Arabidopsis thaliana: one gene and its partner. The main gene of each other region encodes a partner of the protein of the gene in region 2 in a complex. Each region holds a gene or a part of one and is shown on either strand. Other genes may lie near its edges.

Region 1 (6,726 bases), on a different chromosome or scaffold from region 2:
AAAGACTAGAATAGCTAGAAATCTAGAGTACACACTTTGATTTAGTTTGAAGACAAATGTTGAGGCTTGTTTGTCCATACGACATAAAAAGAAGGAGAGACTGAGATATTCCGAATTTGATTTTTCTTTCTTTATTCGTTTATCCAATACTAATTTTTACGGCTATAAACTTTTCACTATCTTTTCGACGTACCTCTAGCTAAAAGATATTTTCTCTTAAAATTTTGGGCTTATATGAATACAAAAGAACATATGAGTGCCCGCCACGATATGTACTGTGAACCACTTAGTGTGTTTTGTAACTATTACGAATAATAAGCCAATTTCCTTTTGTTCTTTCTTACATCACATCTTAATATATGTAGGCACAGAGAAACACACACATTATCGGAACCAAAGCAAAAAAAATAAACCTTAGAAGAGAGTTCCTCATGGCATCGGAATTTCGTCCTCCTCTTCATTTTGTTCTCTTCCCTTTCATGGCTCAAGGCCACATGATCCCAATGGTAGATATTGCAAGGCTCCTGGCTCAGCGCGGGGTGACTATAACCATTGTCACTACACCTCAAAACGCAGGCCGGTTCAAGAACGTTCTTAGCCGGGCTATCCAATCCGGCTTGCCCATCAATCTCGTGCAAGTAAAGTTTCCATCTCAAGAATCGGGTTCACCGGAAGGACAGGAGAATTTGGACTTGCTCGATTCATTGGGGGCTTCATTAACCTTCTTCAAAGCATTTAGCCTGCTCGAGGAACCAGTCGAGAAGCTCTTGAAAGAGATTCAACCTAGGCCAAACTGCATAATCGCTGACATGTGTTTGCCTTATACAAACAGAATTGCCAAGAATCTTGGTATACCAAAAATCATCTTTCATGGCATGTGTTGCTTCAATCTTCTTTGTACGCACATAATGCACCAAAACCACGAGTTCTTGGAAACTATAGAGTCTGACAAGGAATACTTCCCCATTCCTAATTTCCCTGACAGAGTTGAGTTCACAAAATCTCAGCTTCCAATGGTATTAGTTGCTGGAGATTGGAAAGACTTCCTTGACGGAATGACAGAAGGGGATAACACTTCTTATGGTGTGATTGTTAACACGTTTGAAGAGCTCGAGCCAGCTTATGTTAGAGACTACAAGAAGGTTAAAGCGGGTAAGATATGGAGCATCGGACCGGTTTCCTTGTGCAACAAGTTAGGAGAAGACCAAGCTGAGAGGGGAAACAAGGCGGACATTGATCAAGACGAGTGTATTAAATGGCTTGATTCTAAAGAAGAAGGGTCGGTGCTATATGTTTGCCTTGGAAGTATATGCAATCTTCCTCTGTCTCAGCTCAAAGAGCTCGGCTTAGGCCTCGAGGAATCCCAAAGACCTTTCATTTGGGTCATAAGAGGTTGGGAGAAGTATAACGAGTTACTTGAATGGATCTCAGAGAGCGGTTATAAGGAAAGAATCAAAGAAAGAGGCCTTCTCATAACAGGATGGTCGCCTCAAATGCTTATCCTTACACATCCTGCCGTTGGAGGATTCTTGACACATTGTGGATGGAACTCTACTCTTGAAGGAATCACTTCAGGCGTTCCATTACTCACGTGGCCACTGTTTGGAGACCAATTCTGCAATGAGAAATTGGCGGTGCAGATACTAAAAGCCGGTGTGAGAGCTGGGGTTGAAGAGTCCATGAGATGGGGAGAAGAGGAGAAAATAGGAGTACTGGTGGATAAAGAAGGAGTAAAGAAGGCAGTGGAGGAATTGATGGGTGATAGTAATGATGCTAAGGAGAGAAGAAAAAGAGTGAAAGAGCTTGGAGAATTAGCTCACAAGGCTGTGGAAGAAGGAGGCTCTTCTCATTCCAACATCACATTCTTGCTACAAGACATAATGCAATTAGAACAACCCAAGAAATGATTGTAACTTTTCTTAGATTGTAACTTTTCTTTTGTATTACCCAAAAAAAATGATTGTGACGTTTGTTCTCGATTACTTCTCTTTGTTCAAGAACAATTTATGATAGTTTTATTTGAAATTGTCTCTATTATCGAATCTTATACTAACATCTTAGTTAGTACATACTTATTAAGCATTCGAATTCGTACACTCAAATTGAAGAAAAAAACACAATTTCTTATATACTTTTTTTTTTTCTGTAGCTTTAGAAGAGTGTAGAAACCTTCTCCAGTGGTCCTGCATGAGATCGCAACTTCGATATTGCTTGCTCCTTGGAGTTTAGAGGAGTGTAGAAACACTTTTTGTTTGTTTACTTTTGCTTTCTCGATCATGACAAGTTGACAACTCGTGTTATATCCAAAATGACATCATGCATGACTTGAAAATTGAAATCTATCTATGATATTACCATTTCTGGACAATTTTGTTAACCGATTTATATATCTTAACATCTTTCTTTTTTGGTATTATTTACGTTACGATTTTTCATCGTAAATTTAATTTAAAATTTTATATATGCCAGTGTAAAAAGAAATTACTCAAGGTCATTAATAAAAATAAAAATAAAACGTTTTTCCCCAGCGGTCTATCATTGTAAGTTTTATTTTACAAAAAGAATCTTCTAATATAATATGGGCTTTGAAAATGTCTAAGTGGAAGGCCCATTAATATCTCAAGTCCAATAACAATGGTGTACGAACCAGCGGCACCGTGTGTGAAAGAGTGAATCAAAGAGGTGCGGCGGTCGCCGGCGAAGACGTGTGCTCGTCGAAGAAACTTCTCCAACCTAAAATTTTCCGAAGGTAACTCCTCGAGCGAGATTTTAAGCTCATCACACAAATTACTTTTCATTCTCGCTTTCATGGGCTCTTCTTCGATTACTGTGTACATCACTCAAATTTTGGGTTTTTGTTCCTGTTTCCCTCTCGATATAATCGTAAAGTCTTGAAATTGCGAGAAACCCTAATTTGGGGGTTCCTTGCTGATTTGTTAATTTGTGTGTTATGACATTTTCGTTTAAATTTGTGAACTTGTAGAAGTAAGAGTTGAGCAAGTTATCAATGGAAATCGATGAAGAAGAGCCAATGGTGTTCTTGGACCGTACAACAAGAGCAACACGGGGTAAACGGTAAGAATTACTTGAGCTTAAGCTTTTACCTGATGAATGTGTTTCACCTGAAGATTGTGGTTTTGTCTCACTGTTATTGAGATGTATCAGAAACTCTCTTGTGGAAGCTTTATTCATCAGTTTTCTGTTTTTTTTCAGGATGACCAAGTTGCTTGATGACGAAGTAGAAGAAGATGAACAGTTTTGGAATCAAGAAGCTCTTAAAGAGGTTTGTTTTGTTTTATATATAGCTTACTCTCTTAAAGAGATGTTAATGATTTGTTAAGGTAGACTAGATGTCAAAATATATAATGGAAAAAAATCAGATTTGTAGACAAGATACTATCGCAGAAACTTTCGTGTGTTTGCTGACATTTATGTATCTCTTTACTTTTGTTATCTGCAGGAAGAACATGATGATGAATATGAAGCAGAACGTGAGGTTGCTGATGAGTTTGACAGTGACTTCAATGACGATGTATTTATGTCTTGCTTATGTATTGAGTACTTATTCATCAAGGTTTTTGCTTATATTTCCATTCTTTTTAATTTCTTTCTTTTGCCTTTTGTTTGGGATTAGGAGCCTGAGCCTGATGCAGTCGCTGTAAATGAAAAAGAATTGAGGTTTGAATTTTTTCAAAGCTTGTCTTATGATGGCTATTATGTGTGTCTGTTTTAATTTTGTTACAATTTTGCATATTGTTGTAGGGATCTGCCAAAGAAGCGGCTGATTTACCCTGGGAAAACTGCTTCAAAGAAAAAGAAAAAGAAGACGAAGGTAGTTTCACAACTAGAATATATTCCTGGAGATGAGAAGCCAGGTGAAGAATTGGGAAACAAGGAACAAGAAGAAAAAGAAGAGAATGAAGCACAAGAAGATATGGAAGGTGAGAAAGTCATTAGGAAATCAACACGGACTTCAGTGGTTGTACGGCAAGCAGAAAGAGATGCATTGCGTGCTGCTATACAAGCAACAACAAAGGTTTCTCAGAACTCATCCCCACTAGCTATTTACATTCATGGCTACACTTTAATCTCTTTTCTAAGTCTTGCCATGTTGAATTCTTTTTTGTGTTTGTTCAGCCAATACAAAGGAAAAAAGTAGGGGAGGAAAAACGGATGACCCAAGAAGAAATGCTGCTGGAAGCTGCTCAAACAGGTTTGGCTTTTATGATGCTGCATCTGATTTGCTCTATCAGAAACTCAAAATTGCTAAAGTCAGGTTCTTGCAGAAATCATGAACTTGAGGAATTTAGAACGTGTCTTGGCAAGGGAAGAAGAAGTAAAAAAGAAAGCGATTGTGCATAAAGCAGTCTACAAGGGTCCTCAGATTCGGTATCATTCAAAAGATGGTAAGCTCTCCAGTAAAATAGTAATCCAGTCTAATTGGATCTTTCCAGAAAAGTAAGAACTATATTTGTTTAAACTTTTAACTTTACATGCAGGATGTAACTATTTAGAATTCTGTAATGGTGCGTCATTCAATTCAGAGTTGTCGACGAAGTCTGTTCCCTGTAAGTAATTTTGAGTGGTGTTTGGAGATGAACATAAATGTGTTCATATTGATCTATACTGATCTCTGTCTTTCTTTTGGTTTGTTTTCTCTTTTCCAGATCCAGAAAAAGCTGTATGTGTGATTACGGGATTACCTGCCAAGTAAGAGTTTTTCTGTTCTTCTTCTTTATTCATCGGAAGAACAAGATCTCTGGGATGAACACAAGTAGACTCTCTTAGGTCTACTAAAAAGAAGTTATCAGTTTCTTTGATATATACTTCTCGAAAAGAAATGATGTTATAACCTAGAAACCTGATTATCTTTTCTCTGCAATTTTAGAACTAGTTCTTAGCTGTTGTGTGTATTGCTGATACAGGTACCGGGATCCAAAAACGGGTCTTCCTTATGCAACTAGAGACGCCTTCAAAGCAATACGTGAAAGGTGTTGCTTGATCCAATTATTGCTGCATCGATGTTTTCACTTGTCTATAGAAGTATTCATCTGTTGTTTCCTCTAACGGATCAAGCAAATGAATGTTATCGAGTGAAACAGGCCTTTGATATTTACATTGTCTTTATTAGTGTTAGAATCTGATATTTCCCAGTCTTATGTTTATTGTTCTGAAGGTTCATGGACGAACATGATGGTTTGAGAAAGAAAATGGAGATGGGAGATTTGTTTGATACACTAGTGGCGAAAGGTTTTGCAACAAAACAAAAGAGAACGAAGATTCCAAAGAGTAACAAATCATTTTCCCTCAGAAGCTCAGCTCGTTTCCTTAGCTCCGAGTCTGAAGAAGAGAGTGAAGAAGATTCAGATTAATAAACACCTCCCTGATTTGGTTAGTATATTAATATAAAGCCTTTAGTTTTCATGAAACATGATCATGAACTCACAGTTGTAATCATGCTCTGCAGAATCTGCATCTCACATGATTGTGATACATCATTCATGGATCTTCCCACGACCATGGTTTTGGTTCTCAGAGATTAGAAGCGAGAAGAACATTCATGGAGGAAATTTTCATGATCAGAGCTTTGAAATGGAAACAACAACACTCTAATCAGAGATTGATCCTCCTAACCAAAACCTCTGACACCCATCTCAGAATCAGAGAGAAAGTGTAATCTTCTGTATATTACTGACCTTGTAAAGATGATATGTTTTGGTTGATAAATATCAATTTCACATTAAACCGAACCGAATAAGCTTTTGATTTTACTTCGGTTCCGTTAAAACCGTTCCAAATCTATAAATATATCACCGATTTGAAAATTGAAACTTTTTGCGATTTCTAAGAGCTCCAATGGCATAATGATTTGGAGTTCAGATTCATGCTTCAAATCCAGGAAACACCAATGTCTTATCTTCCTCAAGCTATGTTCCTCAATTAAACACCTTCTACAGATCCATGGTCAAATCCATCTCTCCTCTCTCCAAAATGACAGCTTTATCATCAGCGAGCTTGTACGGGTTTCATCACTATCCCTCGCCAAAGACCTTGCCTTTGCGCGAACCCTTCTGCTTCACTCTTCAGATTCGACTCCTTCTACTTGGAATATGCTCAGTAGAGGCTATTCTTCAAGTGATTCTCCTGTGGAATCGATTTGGGTTTACTCTGAGATGAAGAGACGAGGAATCAAACCTAATAAGCTCACTTTTCCTTTTCTTCTCAAGGCTTGTGCTTCGTTTTTAGGTCTCACTGCTGGGAGACAGATTCAAGTTGAGGTTTTGAAACATGGGTTTGATTTTGATGTATATGTTGGGAACAATTTGATCCATCTTTATGGTACTTGTAAGAAAACTTCTGATGCCAGGAAGGTGTTCGACGAAATGACTGAGAGAAATGTTGTTTCTTGGAACTCGATTATGACTGCTCTTGTTGAGAATGGTAAGTTAAATTTGGTGTTTGAGTGTTTTTGTGAGATGATTGGTAAGCGGTTTTGTCCAGATGAGACGACAATGGTGGTTTTGCTTTCGGCTTGTGGCGGTAACTTGAGCTTGGGGAAATTGGTGCATTCACAGGTGATGGTAAGAGAGTTAGAGTTAAACTGTAGACTAGGTACTGCACTTGTAGACATGTATGCAAAATCAGGTGGATTAGAGTATGCTAGGTTAGTTTTCGAAAGAATGGTTGACAAAAATGTTTGGACTTGGAGTGCCATGATTGTAGGAT
Region 2 (7,847 bases):
CACTATTCTTCCGATCACCGGCGACGTTTTTATCGCCGGCATTGCCTTGTCGGAAGCTGACGAAAGGAATAAGAGGTCTCGAAGGCTTGATGTCTCAGTGTTTATCATCATCGTCACAATCATTGTCATTTTCATCGAATTCATTCTCCTCTCAACCGGAATCAGAGTTACTTCAAGCTTTACCTTCTTCGAAGCCAAAATCTCCGCCACTGCAGCTGCCATGGCTCATTGTTGGTTTGGGTAATCCCGGCAAGAAGTACCAGGGCACGCGCCACAACGTATGTCTCTCTCTTGCTTTCTCACTTTGCATTTTCCTTTTCAGCTCGGTAACGTGATCATGAATTGCAGGTTGGTTTTGAGATGGTGGACGCTTTGGCTGATGCAGAAGGCATCTCCATGAACACTGTTAACTTCAAGGCCTTGTTTGGGAAAGGTTCTCTTTTTCATTCTCTTATCTTCTCCATTGTGAATTTTCATTTTGAAATGGTTTTCTTATCTCAAAGTTTGAAACTTTCAAATTTCATACGTCTCAAATGTTTGATGAGGGTGATAGAAACAATGGCTAACTGTTTCCGGAGAATGAATATTGAAATAAATATCATTTTCTGTCTCTGGTTTGTTTCTAACTTTGGGTATTGTTTTCCTTTATCATAGGCGTTATTGGAAATATACCGATTATGCTGGCTAAACCACAAACTTTCATGAACCTAAGTGGTGAGTCTGTAAGTGAGCTCATCGGAAACAAACTTTGGTTTATTTAGTTAACCAATCTCTTTAACTTTTATCACTTGTTATTTTGATTCTTTCTGTTTATGATTGCTGGAATTCTTTGAAGGTTGGACAAATCGTTTCATTTTACAAGATCCCGTTAAAGCAAGTACTTGTGGTATACTTAACCTTCTCTCTCGCTTACTCTCCAAATTCTGGCTCTAGAGTGCATATGCCGTCTTAATTTTTTTTGTCTTTTTCAGGTTTACGATGATTTAGATTTGCCCTTTGGTAAACTACGTTTATTGCCAAAAGGTGGTCACGGAGGCCACAATGGGTACAATGCTTTTCACTCTCTATCTGGCCTGTTGATGTTTTCATTTGTGTTTTAACTTTTAAGTATTGTCTTACTTTTTACTTAAGAAGCAATGTGGATGGATAATAGTTTGCGGTTTCACTATCAAATCATAGAGAAACTCTACAAGAAAACATGATGGGTTGTTCTTTTACTTGCAGGATGAGAAGTATTATAGACCGCCTCAAAGGTAGCCGTGATTTTCCTCGACTAAGAATAGGTACAGTTCTCATTTTTCTCCACTCCGACATATCTTCCCATTTTCTTCTCTGGTTTTGCAAATTGTCGAATGTTTCATTTCAGGGATCGGACGTCCTCCAGGGAAGATGGATACAGCCAATTTTGTTCTCCGCCAGTTCAATAGACAGGAACAGGAAGAGGTAGAAGCAGATTTATCCCATAATTATCTCAAAAAATTTCAGAAAGACATAACCTGATTGTTTTTGGTTTTGCAGTTGGATCACACATTCCAAACCGGGTTAGAGGCAATAAGGATTCTTTTGCTTGAGGGGTTCAACAAAAGTGCAACATTTGTCAACACTCGAAAATCTATGGAGCAACTCAGTTAGAAGTGACATTGTTACATTACATATATTCATATAACAAACTACAAAGTGTTCTTGCTGATTCATTAATAATTTTTTTTTGGTTCCATACTTGAATCCTTTTTGAGCAAATTGTACATCAAAAGATAACCAGATTATTTGTTTATCATAATTTCTATTATGTAACTCGAAAATATGGATTTCAGTATTTGTTCGGCTGTAATTTAAATTATACACTTTCATTAAGCATAGACATTTTATTTGGCAATAAATCAGCTTCGTTTACTGCAAAAAGGGTGGTCACAAAAGTTGGTTCGGTTTAGAAAAATTGTGTTCGGTTCGGTTAGTTTCTTGAATAATTTAAACCCGACGGATTAAATGAGAGGTTTTGTGGTCCCCACAACTCGAACTCAGTAAAACCAAGTCGACCCGATTCAGCTGGATCCGAGATTACAGAGAACCCCGTCCCGTGTTTAAACCCTCCGGCGACAAAGCTCAGATAGAGAACCGCTCCACCCTTGTCGTTCGCTGCAGCCATGTACGGCGGAGGTGGGTTTCTCTTTAAACCCTTGAATTGCTTTGTCGTTTATCTTTTGAGACATTCCTGAGCTGTTTTTTTCCGTGGTGGGTTTTCACAGATGAAGTGTCAGCTATTGTGGTTGACTTGGGTTCGCACACTTGCAAGGCTGGTTACGCCGGTGAAGATGCTCCCAAGGCCGTTTTCCCTTCCGTAAGTCTTAATTACCAGCATTTTATGTCACTATAAGCTTAATGGTGTTATTGTAGATTTGCTCAAGTCCCTTGTATCTTCAGACTCTTAGTTTTTTTTTTGATGTGTTCATAAGGTTATTGGGGCAGTAGATGGTGTAGAGGCAATGGATGTGGATGTTGATTCTACAAAGACTAATTCGAACTCTGAGGATTCGAAGACCGAGTCTGAAAAGGAAAAGAGCAAACGCAAGCTCTATGTAGGATCTCAAGCCATGAGCTACCGCAGAGATCATATGGAGGTTAGTTTTTCTCCTTGATTAATGTTAAAGTTTATAACTTTGTTGGTGAAATTACAGATTGCATTTTCTCTCACCAGGTTTTGTCACCTATAAAAGATGGCATCGTTTCTGACTGGGATTTGGTGGACAATATATGGGAACATGCTTTCAAGTAAATGTGTAAAGCATTATATTTTCTCTTAATTGTTGTTTGCATTTCATCTCTAAAAAAACTTTGTCTTTTAAGGAGTTGTCTGATGATTGATCCTACGGAGCATCCAATGCTGCTAGCTGAGCCTCCTTTAAACACTCAACAGCAGAGAGAGAAGTATGATTTATCTGCTTTGAAATATCCTTTATTACCACTGTTGCTTTATCTTGGTGTGTTACTGATTTTCTCAAATCATATGCTTGACAGGGCGGCAGAGCTAATGTTTGAAAAGTACAAAGTTCCGGCACTGTTTATGGCTAAGAACCCTGTATATTCCCTCTCCCTTGGGTCATCATTCTTTTTGATAGATTATTATATGACGTTCACTGTAATGTTGATATCCAGTCAGCTCTTGTGTAATCAGATGTCTAACTATCTACATGAATTTGGTGTTTTTGGTGCTAGGTTCTCACGTCTTTTGCTACTGGGCGTGCTACTTCTTTGGTTGTTGACTGGTAAGACTTTAAGTATTAAAAGTTTCTCTAGTATGTAGAAGCTACTAATGTTCCACTTCTGCTCTATATGCTGTGAAAGTCTACCTTGTTCTGTATGGTGTATAATTTGAGAAGCACTGATGACACTTTATTGTATTTCTAGCGGTGGAGGATCCACAACCATTTCACCGGTGCATGATGGTTATGTTCTTCAGAAGGTACTTGTATTACACGATTTAGTAAGAATTCAGCTTTGTGATGCTGTTTCTTTGGGTTTGGATTTTGTACTGCAGGAGAAAGTTTCCCATCTCTCGTTTCCATAGTCATCTGTAGCTGCTATAAATTCTCATCCATGTGAATTATGACCTACAGCATTGATGTAGATTGTGATTCTCCGATTGTTGACCATACTTTTATTCGCAGGCTGTTGTATCGTCTCCACTTGGAGGGGAATTTCTCACTGACTGCCTACTGAAAAGCTTGGAGAGTAAAGGAATTAAAGTAGGTTAAAAAAATTCTTCACTGTTCTTTTCTTTTAAGCCAAATTATCTGAGTGATACTGGTTATTTTTTCTGCAGATAAGACCTAGATACTCTTTCAAGAGGAAGGAAGTACGAGCAGGGGAATTCCAGGTGCATATGTGGATCAGTGAATGAAACTACTAGCAGTGAATAGTCTCTAATTTCCTCCCTTTGAATCCTTGCAGGTTGAAGATGTGGATATTCCTGACACCACGGAAAGCTACAAACTCTTCTGCCAGGTCTGTAATTGATTATGAAACTTCGTTTGAAAATTTCAGTTGTGATAATTTGGTGATTTGTTTCAACAGAGGATGATAGTGGGTGATATCAAGGATTCCATTTGTCGAGTTCCTGATACTCCCTATGACGGTACCTTATGTTATTCTGTCTGTCTCTGGTTTCATAAATTTGTTTTATTTCAAAGTTTAAAGTTGCTTGAGAGTTGAACGTTAGATACTTTTTATCTTTCAATGTCATTTGATCGCATAGCCTTAGTTTTTCTGATGTGATGCATTTATCTGCAGATAAATCATATTCAAACATCCCTACTACGTCGTACGAGCTTCCTGATGGCCAGTAAGCTCAGTTTATATGTCTATTTCGGTTTATTTGTGCCTCAAATGTACATGCTACTGTTGCTTTTGTTTTCTACGTATAAGGTTTGAGCTTAGTTTCTAGCCAAATGTACCACTGCTCTGAACCTTGTTTAAGCTGAGATAAGTGCTTAGTTGGATCTGAGTCATTAAAGCCATTGGGCATAAAAGTTTAGAAGAGTCAGACATTGCTTTGGAAACCTGCATGGAACCTAATGTTCATAATGAGAATTAAGTTAAAAGAAAAAGTGCTAGCTTCATTGAAGACAGGAAGCTGCACCTGTAATTTTTGTAGTCTTTCTCAATATCTTATTAACCATGTCTGTTGAAGGACGCTCGAGATTGGTGCTGATAGGTTCAAAGTTCCTGATGTGATGTTCAACCCGTCCATAGTCCAGGTACACCATTTGAGCACGATAAATTCAACAGAAGATTCTGAAGACATTTTGTTTCTTATCTTGAGCGTTTTGAGCCTCGAATTATTTATCAAAGGTTTCTTCTCCGTTTTTATTGCAATTTGCAGACGATTCCTGGAATGGAGAAGTATGCTGAGATGATTCCTTCCGTTCGTGGGTTACCACACATGGTATATGCATGGTATTTAGTCATTGCAAAGCTTCCATCTCTTAACTTTTTCTAACTTTACTCTCCATTTTACTGACTTGTACAGGTCATGGAGAGCATCAACAAATGTGATGTAGACATCCGGAGAGAGTTGTATAGTAGCATACTGGTAAAATAGCAATCAATGCCAACTCTTAAATACCCCTACTTTTAGTTTCGTTGGATGTGGATGATTAACATTTCCTTTCTTCTCGCATTATGCCAGCTTGCTGGTGGCACATCGTCAATGCAACAGCTGAAAGAACGTCTCGAAAAGGACTTGATCGAAGTATTGTGTCCTAAACTCTTTTCCTCTGTCTTTAAAGCTATCCCAGTTTTTATGATGGCGAAAATCATTCATTGGTCCCTCTATCTTTGTTTCAGGAGTCTCCTCACTCAGCTAGAGTTAAAGTGTTGGCAAGCGGTAACACAACAGAAAGAAGATTCAGGTCTGGATTTAGTGTTCACTTCTTCCTCTATAATGAGACCCAAATTTTTTTGCTTGGATCAACCAACAAACATGTTATGTATGTGCAGTGTATGGATAGGAGGGAGTATATTGGCATCACTAGGCTCATTTCAACAGATGTGGTTCTCCAAGTCTGAGTAAGTCTCTGTTCTGATTTTCCATTAATCAGACTCGCAAAGAAACTATAGTTTGTTTTCTCTCCTGACACTCGGATTTGGGGTCTTGGTGTAAATGGCAGGTATGAGGAACATGGAGCTTCCTACATTCAGAGAAAATGCCCTTAAAGCAGGCAGTTTCAGATTATGTGGAGTCTGACAAGACGAAACTTGGAAACTAATGTGTTATTTTCATTGTGCATCGTTGTTCCTTGAAGATTATTAGTATTCCGCCTGAACCTTTTAGAATGAGTGTCATTAACAAGCATTATAGTGCTATTTTAAAAACATAAAAACATGTGGAAGAAGTTTCGTTGCTTTATTAGATTTTCGCACAATCAAGACCGTCCACGTTTTGTTACTACGAACCAAGATAATCCACAAAATTAACAAGAAAATAACAAATCCGAAACTACAAAAAGCAGCTTCATAAGTTTTCTTTTTCTTTTTTAAAAAAGAAGAAAAAATCAGCTTTATCGTGCCTCTCAAAAAGCTAATGACTTCGAAGTTCCAAAATTCCGGTCTTCGAACATATTTTATAGAATAGCAAAATGTTTTGAACCACAAGATTATTAATAATATAAATAATGTAATTGATATTGGTAAGTAATAATACTTTTATTAATCATAAAATGGTCTGAATAATAATAAAGACAAAATGGACGTAACTTCTCCGCCACTACAGACTTACGTGTCATGTCTCCATATCCGCATGCAAAATCCAATAGATGACACATTCTAAATCATCCAATTATATACGCCCACGTGTCAACCTCTGTCTCGTCTCTCTAAATAACGTTTACCGACCTTCTCTTGTGGACGGTAAGAATCGCCGGCGTCCCCTAATATATCGGATTTCAATCCAAAGACACACTCACAATTTAAAAAAAAACGTTTCTTTTCTCTTCGATTCCCGATTACGGCTTTTGATTTTGTGGGACTCTTCTCAGTTTTTCTGGGCTTTTGGTTTTTGGATTCTATCTTCTTTCATTTTTCAGATTTTTTATTTTATTTTGTTGTATTTCTATATTGGGAAACAAAATCATGCAGAGGATCGTCGATAATGCTCTTGCTATCACAAAAGAGTGAGTCCCTCTCTCTTTTCGATTTCACCATTAGTCTGTGCACGCTTATTGATTTTGTGATTTCTGATTTGTTTTTTTAGTTGCATGTTTAGTGGTTTTAGTAATTTGATATGTGATTTCAACTGTTTTGTTTCCTTAATTTGGATTTTAATTCGATTAGATTTTCTCAAATAGTAATTCGATTTGCTTTAGATATGGAAGTTGCCAAATTTTGAGCCAGTGGTTTTATAGTGGAGCTAGGAGCTAAGTCTATATCTTATATCTTCTGATTTACATTAATCTTGAGATTTAGTGGTATATAGTTTTACTAATTTGGGGATACATTTCTGATTTACCATTTTTAGTTAGTTGTTGAAGGTTTGTTGTCTCTTTGAAGAAAGTATACATATTGACTCTTTGTCCTGTAATAATTACAGCGATTCTCGTTGTATCTGCGGATAGTTTTCTTTGTTTAATGCTTGTCTGTTTGGGTTTTTGGTGTTCGTTGTGGGTTTTTGATTGGTATTAGGATTGTTTGTGTTAGTCTAAAATAGTTTTAAGCTAACTAATGATTTTGGTTTTTAGTGCAGGTCAGTGAAAACTCTGACTTATGAGTCTTTGAACAACATTGCAAGATGCATTAATGGATTTTCTGCGCTTCTCTTGACACTTTTGCCCGGAAAGTCCAATGTTCTTGAAGGTCTTCATGGATGGGAGCTTAGGCCTACATTGCGTGGACCTCGTTTACCACGCTGGATGCATAAGTAAAACTCTCTTCAACTCTCTAATACTTCTTTGTGGTTACCTTATAGCAGCTTATTCGACTCTCTTTTGATTTCTGTGGTTTTGCAGTGGAGTCTCTTCTTTCAACCACTTCATTCACGAACTCTCTGTGGATTCTGATACTTCTAGCTTGGACTATTCCTCTGGTGATGATGATAGTGATGGCATGTCCACGCCTCCATCACCCTTGTCTCAAAGCTCACTCCGCTCTTGGGCTAGTCTTCCTGCCAATTACGAAAGCCATTGGACAGACTGGATAACCTTCATTGTCTGGTGGGCTTTACTACCTGCCCGGATCCTTCTATGGGTACCATTATATCTTTTACGTCTTTTAGCTAGAAGAAATTCAAGAATGCAGCCTCTGAGCCCAGGAAGGTACCAACATTCGTCTAGACCTTGTTTTAGCAAAGCTATCTC

Evidence for each region. Proteins that work in one complex are often made in the same cells at the same time.
Region 1: ARP4 (region 2) and SWC2 share a complex: the UniProt entries of both Arabidopsis thaliana proteins name them as parts of the SWR1 chromatin-remodeling complex.

Annotation. Positions count from the first base shown.
Region 1 is NC_003071.7:15,405,712-15,412,437, reverse strand, and holds SWC2 (DNA binding protein SWC2), read left to right. Parts: upstream 1-2,525; 5' UTR 2,526-2,749; intron 2,750-2,983; 5' UTR 2,984-3,007; coding exon 3,008-3,075; intron 3,076-3,213; coding exon 3,214-3,283; intron 3,284-3,460; coding exon 3,461-3,532; intron 3,533-3,634; coding exon 3,635-3,678; intron 3,679-3,762; coding exon 3,763-4,036; intron 4,037-4,137; coding exon 4,138-4,213; intron 4,214-4,286; coding exon 4,287-4,406; intron 4,407-4,499; coding exon 4,500-4,568; intron 4,569-4,667; coding exon 4,668-4,710; intron 4,711-4,925; coding exon 4,926-4,991; coding exon of another isoform or gene 4,992-5,067; exon of another isoform or gene 5,068-5,176; coding exon 5,177-5,372; 3' UTR 5,373-5,391; intron 5,392-5,467; 3' UTR 5,468-5,816; downstream 5,817-6,726. Other genes in the region: UGT73C1 (UDP-glucosyl transferase 73C1), read left to right, coding at 432-1,907; AT2G36730 (Pentatricopeptide repeat (PPR) superfamily protein), read left to right, coding at 5,865-6,726. UniProt on the Arabidopsis thaliana protein: Component of the SWR1 complex which mediates the ATP-dependent exchange of histone H2A for the H2A variant H2A.F/Z leading to transcriptional regulation of selected genes (e.g. FLC) by chromatin remodeling.
Region 2 is NC_003070.9:6,346,055-6,353,901, forward strand, and holds ARP4 (actin-related protein 4), read left to right. Parts: upstream 1-1,993; 5' UTR 1,994-2,144; coding exon 2,145-2,157; intron 2,158-2,246; coding exon 2,247-2,338; intron 2,339-2,453; coding exon 2,454-2,618; intron 2,619-2,695; coding exon 2,696-2,769; intron 2,770-2,844; coding exon 2,845-2,925; intron 2,926-3,015; coding exon 3,016-3,076; intron 3,077-3,213; coding exon 3,214-3,263; intron 3,264-3,405; coding exon 3,406-3,460; intron 3,461-3,665; coding exon 3,666-3,743; intron 3,744-3,820; coding exon 3,821-3,874; intron 3,875-3,948; coding exon 3,949-4,002; intron 4,003-4,071; coding exon 4,072-4,132; intron 4,133-4,287; coding exon 4,288-4,339; intron 4,340-4,687; coding exon 4,688-4,754; intron 4,755-4,879; coding exon 4,880-4,942; intron 4,943-5,026; coding exon 5,027-5,089; intron 5,090-5,185; coding exon 5,186-5,248; intron 5,249-5,343; coding exon 5,344-5,408; intron 5,409-5,496; coding exon 5,497-5,565; intron 5,566-5,666; and 3 more. Other genes in the region: AT1G18440 (Peptidyl-tRNA hydrolase family protein), read left to right, coding at 1-278, 349-433, 655-722, 836-886, 972-1,045, 1,225-1,283, 1,367-1,443, 1,519-1,632; AT1G18460 (alpha/beta-Hydrolases superfamily protein), read left to right, coding at 6,628-6,668, 7,238-7,411, 7,500-7,847. UniProt on the Arabidopsis thaliana protein: Involved in several developmental processes including organization of plant organs, flowering time, anther development, flower senescence and fertility, probably by regulating the chromatin structure.